Linked DNA regions of Arabidopsis thaliana. The protein of the gene in region 2 interacts with the protein of the main gene of each other region in a pairwise test. Each region holds a gene or a part of one and is shown on either strand. Other genes may lie near its edges. The genes, in order: CA1 and AT5G25260.

Region 1 (6,383 bases), on a different chromosome or scaffold from region 2:
ATCAAATATAATGTATTTATCAAATCAATGAGTAGATATATATAGTTCATGTCTTCATGAAATCATGGGACTCTTGGTCACTTTGCTACTTTTTCCTCAAGCTTTAGCCTTTTCGTTTTGTGGGTTTAATCTTCTTCGATCGATTTATACCGGATTCATAAACGTCGTCCTTGGACAAAGATTTAAGCCCGTTCAACGGTGCTTTTTCATGATGGATATGTAAAACCTAAACCGAACCTGACCATTTAATTGCCACAATAAAGAATTGCAAACTTGGGCCTAGGCCCATAATGTGTAGGCGGACAAATTTAAACAGCAACATACACAGACAAATTTCAGATGTTTATATTTTATATGACCAAAAAACTACGAAGCTACAAATCTACAGTTTCACTATCCGCATCCGGATCTGTTAGACTGGGATATCCGGGTTCCGGGTACCAGAATTCGACAGTTTTAAGGATTTGGGTATCGAACCCAGAAATTAAAAGATCCAGAGTTCTAGGGTTTGTGAGATATCGAGAAGAGATCGAAATGATTTTGTGACCTTCAAAGAATGATTTTGTGTTTGTGTCGGCAAGTGATAATTAATTGGGCTTGGGTATCAAAAATATTTGGTTTGTTAAATATATGGGCTTTTAGCTAAATGGGTTTCCAAGCCTTTTTATTTCATGTAGTTAATGGTACCGGATCCGGATATCCGGGTTCATTTTTTTCATTATCCGGATCCGCCCGTCCCGGATATCCTTATTTACGATTCAATGATTTTTTTTTGATTTTTTTTTTTTTAGTTTTTATTCAAATTTCTGTCCCCCAAGATTTTAATTCTGTAAAATCAAAAACCAGTTTCATCAAGATCTGCATGTAAACAACAACTTGGTGTTATTGAATTGACAATGTGAAATCGGGTAAGGCTTCAAAGAGTTTCCTACAGCTTCCAATGTAGTATGGTAGCCACATCTTTAACCTACCAAACAACATAGAAAATAAAATCAAACCATAAATACAACCGATTTGATACACAAATAATAAAGACAATTGTTCATAATTAAACCACGAAAGATCTATATCATCTGCTTTTCCTTTTTGTTTTATATATATGAAGAAAGTTGGTAGAGAGGGAGAGATAACTCATCACAGTCAAAGGCACATTACAAATTACATATGGGGTAGATATATATTATATACGATGATAATAATGATGATGATGATGGATGGTCATGATGATGATGATGATGATGGATTGGTTCATACAGAGCTAGTTTCGGAGAGGCCAAATTCAAGTCCCCAAAGCTCAAAAGCACCCTTGACGAAGTCATAGTAGCCTCCCTTCAAAGCAAGTGTTCCCTTCACAAGTCCTTCTCTCACAAATGGATATGTCAATAGGTTTGCTAGTGAAACATTCACCGCCTCCTGCATTTATCAATACATTTATATTGTTATATATGATCAGCTCATCGATCTAACATGTGTTTGTATACCCTTTCACATCGGCCACATTGATCTTCAAAGGCTGAATCTCCAAGTTCTGATATAACCTTTGACTTGGCTGGTAAACAGATTTTGACCCAGTCCTCTATGAAGTCACTGCAATTAACGTATATATTTTTTACTAATCTCATTTAATAAATCCTGTTATTAAAATTGATTAAATTTTAATAAAATGGATATAGAGATATTTTACGTGGAGTTGTTTCCATCTAAGGGGAAAGACATAAGCCCTTTGATCCCACCACATGCACTGTGTCCTATCACCACAATGTTCTCCACCTACAGTAATAAATTCATTCAAAAATTAATTACATGTACTTTGATAAATAATTTTTTTTGGTTAAGGTGTTAATTATTTTATTTTATTTTCACCTTAAGGTGTAAGACCGCGTATTCAATGGCTGCTCCAACGCCACCGTATTTGACCTGCCAATTTAGCAACCCAAAAATGAAAATAGAAAGTGAATGTCACGACTTCTCAAGACAAAAGTCAAGACTCAAGAGGCAGAAGGTTTAAGATAGAAGAGTTTATATCTATAGAGAGACAGACGTGTTAAATTATTAACCTTGTCGAAAGGAGGAACCATGTTGGCTATGTTACGGACCACGAAGGCATCTCCTGGCTGAAAGTCCAGAACGTGTGATGGACACACACGTGAGTCTGAACAAGCAAACACCATGTACTGCACCACCATTCACACACCTTTGTTAATTACTTTTTCTTAATGTTTCATTTTTAATTTATAAGCAACCATGATATACACATAGTATTAGTTTTATTTTTAATTTACCTTAGGACTTTGACCCTTTGCGAGCTCACCGTACAAAGCAGGGTTGGTTCTGCAAATAAAAGTATAAATATGAACCAGTTAATTAATCTAGACCACTTTAGTTGGTGACATAATTAAGAACAAACAAATGAAATAGAAATATATATTACTCGTATTTCTCCTTCTTGAATTTGATGAAGCCCTGCTTAATGGTTTCGACGGGGTCGAAAGCTTTCTTGTCGGATGAAGTACCTGTCTGAAGAGCCGCTGTGATCTGCTCCACCTTTGCCGCTGCAACCGTCTTTAGCTCTTCCTTCTCGCTGCCATATGTTTATATACATTTATAGTTAAATCACAAAAATTATGAATTAAGTAGTATTGAAAAATCCCGTTACTAATTTATAATAATGTTTTAGCTTTTATTAATCTAATCATGTATTAATGTATGCATGCGAATAGAAAAGATGTATATACTTACATGAGAAGCTTCTTGAGAGCTTCAATAGCCTCGTCGTATGCTTCGGTTCCCATCTCTTCACTCTGCAAGTTGGTTGACCAAATAAAATTAGAAGAAAATGAGTACTAGTATATTTTATTGTCGTGAACGTAATTAAGTAGAGAGCGAGTCATGACGTGTTTTAAATGTTGAAACTACAATCAACCTGTTCAGAACTTCATTATACGATAAAGTACAATTTTATAGTCTTTTATATTATGATTTTATTTTCGCTAGTAGGAACCAAATCGGTAGGTTGAATGAATAAATATAGATGGCGACTTAATCACCACTATGCTCCACACGCTCTCATATGGTACATGTGCATACACACACGTCTCAGTTTCATGAATCGTTTTTGTTGAAGCTACTACTAGCAACTTTTCTTTTATCACGTGGATCCTACGTACGTTCTAACTCTCAAAATTTCAAAAATGTCGGATCTTGGGTAGGAATGAGACAACGCTTTTAATATTTCGAGGTGATTTGTTTTTAACTTCACTAGATGTCGAAGCAAGTAGTTTGAAGATCTGTATAGAATAAGGATTGAAAATGAACTCTTCCCTTGCTTGTGATTCACTAATTAAGCAACTTTAGTTTGATTCTTGTTAATTTGGGTAATTCTTTCAGTACCACGCTAAAGACCAAAAGTCAAACACGGATGATAATAGTAAGGATAATATAAGGAAATACCAAGGGAAAAAAAAACTGAAATGTGAAACACATGTGACAGTTTCCAAGATTTGTGGAAGTTTCGTAAGCTAGTTTCTATAGAAGATTTTTGTTCCTATCACTAAAATGGCAATTGCAGAATCTATATAATAATTTCGTAAAATCTTTACAAATTTTAAAATTCTGTAACTTTAGTTTGCTATCTATGTAATGTACCCCTATTATACGTAAACAGCAATGTAAGTTATGTAAGAAATAATGTAGGTTAAGAAACAGTGATGAATGTAAAAATGTATACCCAATAAGGGGCAATGATAGGAGCAGGAGCGGCAAAAACTGGCTCGTTACGGATAAGCGTTGGAACGGAACGGGAAGACGAGGAGGAGGAAGATGAGGAAGAAGAAGAGGCGGGTGGGAGGCAAGCGACGGTGGAAGAAGTACGAAGAGAGAGTTTCTGGAGAGAAGATTGAGAAGGAGAAAGTGAAGTGAGAAAGAAGCCGGAGAGAGGAGCGGTCGACATTTGTTGGCGAAGAGAAGCGGAGATCAGAGAGAGTGAGATATGTGTATTTATAGTTAGAACTAAGACTCTTATGGAAGCTACTATATACTTAAGTGAATAATGGGATTGGTTGAAAGATTTGGGAGTTTAAAAGAACGGAGTCTCATGGTCATGGTGAGGTTGTGGGAACGAGGATAACGAAAGCGATAGCTGCGGTGAATAACAAACTTTCTTCTTTTCTTGTGGATGAGGAATATTAGCTCAAGATTTCAAAACTTTTACGTGCTCTTTTCTTCTTTCAATTCTTTTTTTTATAAAAAAATAAAAGGTCTCAGAAAGGTTTAGAGGATAAGGTCCCTTATCATGAAAACAAGGATCAGCCTCTTTCACTTACCCTCTCAGGCTCTCATCTTAAATAATCACCACCCACTTTAGATGTTAGGCCATTTGTTTGTGGTATACATATAGAAAGATCCATACTTCTCTAGGCTCTCTCTAGACCAGAGATTGCTATTGTATACACAATCTAGAAGATGCAAAGGATTAACATCGATCATGGACTGTTCTACTCTACGAAACAACAGACTCAGTGAAAACTCTTAGCATGAAAATGAAGAGGAAATAAAAAAAATAGAGAAGAAGGGTCTCTCCTCTCAGACCTTCCATGGCCATAAATCATCATATAGGCAACATTAGATAACAGAGTTTCTATTTTCTTCAACATGTTAGGAGAGAGCGAGAGAGAGAGAGAAAATGAAGAAGAAATACAGAGACCAGTAACGCATTAGGGTTGGTTTTGGGACTTATATGTAAAGTGGGCAACGGCGAAACTATGTCGACATTTTTTCATGCAAACACACAACATAATGTCAACATTCTCTTGTCATAGAGTGCGCGAATGTGGCAATGTTGTTCACAACGATATTAGGGTTAAGTACCTCGAGGAATGGATAGAGACAGAAGAATGGATGTAACATTTTAACTTATGCCAAAACAAAACTTCTACGACTTTGGGCATAGTCTTATTGGACAAACTGAGAATGCGATACACCGAGCTGCTTTCGCCAGCCTAAATCTTTCGCTCTCTGTTAACACTCTCTCGATCACCTTTATGATATTTGCATCCTGCAAAACATTGTACAAGTTGCTTCAGGTTTATGTCTTGAACCAATCAGGCAAATATAACGTGGAACATCTTATTCAAGCTTTTCCTATTGTATGAAGAAGAGACTACTGCATAGTAGGAGTAACCTTTCTTGGTTGTTGAATTGTAGGCCTGACGTTAGCAACATCACCAACTACAATTATATTGTTCGTGTTTCCTCGGTCATCTCTTTCCGTTGGTGAAGTTGCTGAATGCCTCCAATCACCGTTGATTATGTACTTGTAGTAGTATCTGCCACATTGTCAATAATCACCAAGTTATATGACACAAATGCATTTTCATAAGTTTCTTTGCAGTTTGCAATCCCTCAAAAGTCACAATTAACATGCAGGGAAGATTATGAGACGTTTTACTGTTGAACCTTAAAAAAAGCATCAACGGGAAAGGTAAAAGAAGCATGACTTACTTTCCCTGTGTAAGTCTAACTTCAGTTTCAAAACGTGGACCGCCTTTGTGCGTTGCTTTTATCGGTTCTTTCCAATTTCCTGTGAAATCCCCAACCAACAATACCTCCTCCCCCTGTAAACCAAGGTGTAACTTAAAACACAGAGGCTAGTTGCTCAACCCTACAGATCACGAGTTCCATAAAGAATTGCAGCAAAGTAATAAAAGCATGTGAAGCAACAGTCACCTCATGTCCATTCCACACAAAGGTTACAGAGTGTGTTGGAGTCCCATCATGTTTGCCATCGTCCACCATAGCGATAAGATCCCATGTTGCCCAAGCAATTGCAGGTCTGTGAAAAAATACATATAACTTGTCTGATGTTTTCATTAAAACAGAAAAGCTATCCATGGTCTGCAGGTTAATGGTCAAGACAGAGATAAGATGGATAAAAACCTGTCAGGTTTGCAAGCGTGCAATCCAGTAACGAAACTATAAGCAGCATGAAGAGAGGTATCAGTCATCCAGTGCAGATAAGCAATCACACAAGCGGATGACCGGTCAAAACCAGTGGTACAAGTTACAAAGACACGATGGTTCTTTTTCAGTAACCGTAGTAAGAGCCCAACACAAAGTGGTAGCTTCTTCCTAAGATCAAAGGAATCTGCATCCCTGGCACCAAAATATCAAAACTGATTAGAGCGGTAGGAAATGAAAGCATGAACGCACATAATGTGCCTCAAGGCGATATGACTTTGCATACTTTATAGGGTAGTTGATCATTAAGACTTCAGATTTCTGGCATGCATCATTGATACTTTGTGAATCGATCCCCCAGTTTTGAGCTTCAGTTCCACCTTGGAAATTTAGTATGGCAGTAATTCCCTGTAGAAAGAAAAGTATGG
Region 2 (4,498 bases):
TGTGATTATGATATGAAGGTAAGCTTTCAAATTCTGATTATGATTTATAAACAATAGGACAAAAAATGATAAATACAAACTTGAGAACTTGTTTACTGAGATTAGCATATGATTTGAAATTGATAAGAGAGGGTTGTAAAACAATGATTGTGATGATTTCAGGGTAAATTAACTTATGGGAAAATCGGGGAATGGAGATTTGACAAAAGATCGTATGATAGCAAACCACCACCAAGGAACCTTACAATGCCTCCACCTGGTGTTTCACAAAGTGTGGTATGTTTACATGTCCTGCCTTCATTTTTCTAAAACACATTACCCATTTTATGTTCCAGTCGGTGGGCCGAATTACGCGGCAACTTCCCTGCGAATGATTACAAACACAGCTCAGTTCTCTTCATTAATGTATTGGCAGGTAACACTAGTGAAGATGATAAATGAAGCCACGGCCAACATACCAAACTGGGGATCATAAAGAGACAGAGAGAGAGAAACCGTAATCTATATGTACCTGTGAGTTGCTCCTTTCTTTTCAAAATACCTTGTCCTGCTCTTTAGTTTCTCCTTTGGTTGTGGCTAGGTTTGTAACATATATAGTGATTCAAACAAAGCATTTCTTTGGCATTTTACTTCTCTAATTCAGTCTGGTCTCCACTAGATTTTGTTGTCCTCTAGCATCTCAAAGGATAAATTACAATAAGCCTAGACTTGATACACACATCAAACACCACTCAATATGTACATACATTACATACTACAAAATAACCTTATGGTCTCTGCAAATTCCTGAAAATTTGTCTCTCATTTTTATTTCACATTCAACATATATACGAATACAATTAAAGTAAAAAATACAACCTCAAACACTTACGAATAAACCAAGTTTTCCAACGGGATTAAAATAAAATAACACTTTACACTTTCAATGATTATCAATCACAAGTAACGACCAAACCATGGCATCAACCTCTTAGCTGTCGAGGCGGTCACTTGCTTAGAGTACCGATCCAAGCCGGCGGCTGCATCCCAGTCTGCTCGTAAACTGTATCGAGAACCGGAGGCAGCATCTTGTAAAGTCCAGCTATATCCTTCATACCACTCCCACTAGCACCACCAATCCCCTGTTCTCCACCATGGTTCCAAACGCTAATCTTGGGCTGCAAGTCTCTGACCGCAAGCGCGTTAGTCTTAGCAATCTCCTGATAAGTGCCATTGTTAATCATCAAAAAGTCTCTAAGACAAGAATAGTCATTCTGAACAGCGTCTAGGAGGGTTCTGAGATAAGTTCCTTGAGCACTGGCTAAAGCAACAAGTCCCTCTGCTTCTTTCTGCTTTGAGTAGAACGTAGCGTCTGCTTCAGCTTTCTGTGCCTCGGCTTGCTTTTGCTTCTCATATAGAACTGCCTCCGCTTGCTTCTGCTTGTTGTACAATTCCCAATTTGCTTCTTGAACCTTGGTTTCATACTCAACACTGGCTTTGCTAAGGAACTCGGCTTTGAGCTTCTCTGTTCGAGTCAAAGCGTTCATTTTCTCGACCTGAGTCTGAAGCTCAGCTTCTCTCAAAGCCACGGCCTTGGTTGCTTCAACCTCAGCAACCTTAGCATCCTTGGTCCAAGCAGCTTTCTTCATAGCTAGCTCGGAGTTGGCCTTAGCTACATCAGCTTCCTTCTGATTCTCAAACACTTTAACCTCAGTCTTCACTTTGATCTCCGCCTTCGTCCCTTCTCCTTGCCTCTGCATCGATATGATCTTTGACTCCGCGTCAATTTTCGCAGCGTTCTGTAGCGTAAGCCCAGTCCGTTCCTTGGCACCGATCTCTCCCTTCATCTTGGCCTCAGCCACATCGATCCTGGCCTGATTTGCTGCTTCCATTTGGGTTTTCTGACCCAAGTAAGAGAAGTACTCATGTCCAGGCACGTCAACGAGCTGTTTCACGTTTGCATTGTAGATTACGAGACCAAACTGGTCTAATTCTAATTGAACCTTATCAAACACTTCCTTCTTAAACTCTTTCGTCCCTTCAAATCCATATAAACAAAAAAAAAAACCTTTTTAATCAAATCGTTCAGAAAATTCATTGTATTAGTATGGCCTAATGGTTTGTGTTACATTGTGGCAACACCAAATGTTTTGGGACCAAAAAAAGTATATAAGTTACCTTTAAAGATCTCTTCCATGGTCATGGAAGCAGCGAGAACACGAGTCTCTCCCTCGATAACACCTTCAACAAGCTCATTCACATGATTTGACTGTTTGTCATGAGGCGAAATAAGCCTAGCGTACAGAATCAGCGCTTCAGTGTCATCGACACGAGGGCCGATAGTGAAGACAGCAGGGAGAACGAAAGGGAGCTTCTCTGCACTCATGGCTTGGACTTTGAAAGTGTAGTTCACGGGAGATACGTCGAAAACGGTGCACCTTTGCCATGGAAACACCCATGATTTCTTCGAGAGCTTGATATCTTCGATCCCACCACCGGTGATGGCTAAGTACTGTGATGCTCTTGCAACCTTGAACATGTCTAGGATCTAAGGATTTGATTGCTTTTCGCCAAAATGATTTTGGAGACGAAGAATGAGTAGCTGTACTTGTTTTTTTGTTTCGTGAGAAGTGTTTATATATTACATATAGTCGTTGACATGTTACAAGACTTTGTCTGTCACTGTTAGAGAAATGTTAAAGAAATTTCACAAACTTGTATATATCACAAAAAAAAAGGATGATTGTGAAGAATGTTTCATTCTTGACTTTCTATTTAGATTTTGTCAAGCTGAATTGTATTGCAAAAAAAATCATATTTGTTAAAATTTGATGAAATTGTCTTTGATAAAATTCAAGATTTATATGTATGAACACGGTTTAGCAAAAAAAAATAAAAATGTATGTACACGATACAGCAAATACATAAAATTCAAAATCTTTTAAACTATAGTATATTTTTCTTTTTGGTAGGGTAAACTATAGTATATAAGTACACCATATATAAACCAAACAAAATAAATCATAATTCATTAAACCAATAGATGTAGATCCTAATCTCGGATGTTTACGTATAGCATATAGTTACATCTTATATTAAATGTTGACCATGACCAAGCTTATATACATTACAATTTTCATTTTGATAATAAGACGTTGAGTTTGCCAAAATCTCTTCAAACTTGTTTGACTATGACATATGATATTTTAGAATAAAATAGGATCGGAGACTTTTTGCAAATTCCTAATAAGATAAAACTTCAACCCACTTCCAAGAAACTACACATGAAGAAGACTTCAGATAGTCAGCTAGTAGCTAGCTGCTCCTGTCCTGGTCGATGACCCAAGCGCGTCCTAATTCTCCAAATGACTATTCCTACCTTTCACCTTCCGCTAGACTACACGCATAACACAATTCTTAGTCAGTCAGTCAGTGGCTAGATCACCTCCCATCAGACTATGCGCATAACACCTTCCATTCTCATGATGTGTTTTTCCGCCAAAACCGCAAAATTTTATTTTCTAGCCACCATCCGAACCAGTTTTCTCCTATTTAGCCCACATATCGGAGGGCGTTGATTTTGGTTGTTCCCGAAAGGACGAGCTATCGTTCTTTGAATTTGAAATAGTTCAAGACTCCAATATATAAAAATGAAATAATTCTCTGGTTTTGGTTATTCCTCATTTTAATTTATTTTCAACATATACGAATACGATTCAATTAAGAATATCAATAACACACTTCAAAACACACACAAGAATAAGCCAAGTCCTCCAACAGGATTAAAATAATAAAAAATTACATTCGCATGGATGTATCTTCAACCACAAGTAAACGACCAAACCATGCCACTATTCTCTTAGCTGCGAGTCACTTGCTTCGGTTCCGCACCACGTAGAGTACCGATCCAAGCAGGTGGCTGCATCCCAGTCTGCTCATAAACCGTATCAAGAACCGGAGGCAACATCTTGTAAAGTCCAGCTATATCCTTCATAGCATTCCCACTACCACCACCCTGTTCTCCACCATGGTTCCAAACACTAATCTTGGGCTGCAAGTCTCTAACCGCCATCGCATTAGTCTTAGCGATCTCTTGATAAATACCATTGTTAATCATCAAGAAGTCTCTAAGACAAGAATAGTCATTCTGAACAGCGTCTAAGAGGGTTCTTAGATAAGTCCCTTGCGCACTAGCTAAGGCAACAAGTCCCTCTGCTTCTTTCTGCTTTGAGTAGAAAGCCGCATCCGCTTGCGCTTTCTGTGCCTCGGCTTGCTTTTGTTTCTCGTATAGAACCGCCTCTGCTTGTTTCTGCTTGTTGTATAGTTCCCAATTTGCTTCTTGAACCTTGGTTTCATACTCAACACTAGCTTTGCTAAGGAACTCAGCCTTGAGCTTCTCTGTTCGAGTCAAAGCGTTCATTTTCTCGACCTGAGTCTGAAGCTCAGCTTCTCTCAAAGCCACGGCCTTGGTTGCTTCAACCTCAGCCACCTGAGCATCCTTAGTCCAAGCAGCTTTTTT

The links.
Region 1: the proteins of AT5G25260 (region 2) and CA1 interact in a protein complementation assay, tested with the Arabidopsis thaliana proteins (one large-scale study listed by BioGRID).

Annotation. Positions count from the first base shown.
Region 1 is NC_003074.8:193,925-200,307, forward strand, and holds CA1 (carbonic anhydrase 1), read right to left. Parts: upstream 4,237-6,383; 5' UTR 3,950-4,236; coding exon 3,728-3,949; intron 3,641-3,727; exon of another isoform or gene 2,924-3,640; intron 2,802-2,923; coding exon 2,740-2,801; intron 2,582-2,739; coding exon 2,432-2,581; intron 2,332-2,431; coding exon 2,283-2,331; intron 2,175-2,282; coding exon 2,058-2,174; intron 1,918-2,057; coding exon 1,864-1,917; intron 1,771-1,863; coding exon 1,685-1,770; intron 1,588-1,684; coding exon 1,482-1,587; intron 1,414-1,481; coding exon 1,255-1,413; coding exon of another isoform or gene 1,249-1,254; exon of another isoform or gene 968-1,248; coding exon 929-967; 3' UTR 502-928; downstream 1-501. Other genes in the region: LSF1 (uncharacterized protein), read right to left, coding at 4,931-5,053, 5,180-5,324, 5,500-5,612, 5,725-5,830, 5,935-6,150, 6,242-6,363. UniProt on the Arabidopsis thaliana protein: Reversible hydration of carbon dioxide. Required for photosynthesis in cotyledons. Binds salicylic acid.
Region 2 is NC_003076.8:8,750,771-8,755,268, reverse strand, and holds AT5G25260 (SPFH/Band 7/PHB domain-containing membrane-associated protein family), read right to left. Parts: upstream 2,586-4,498; 5' UTR 2,519-2,585; coding exon 2,158-2,518; intron 2,018-2,157; coding exon 987-2,017; 3' UTR 747-986; downstream 1-746. Other genes in the region: AT5G25265 (Hyp O-arabinosyltransferase-like protein), read left to right, coding at 1-18, 163-276, 416-475; FLOT1 (SPFH/Band 7/PHB domain-containing membrane-associated protein family), read right to left, coding at 3,839-4,498. UniProt on the Arabidopsis thaliana protein: May act as a scaffolding protein within caveolar membranes, functionally participating in formation of caveolae or caveolae-like vesicles.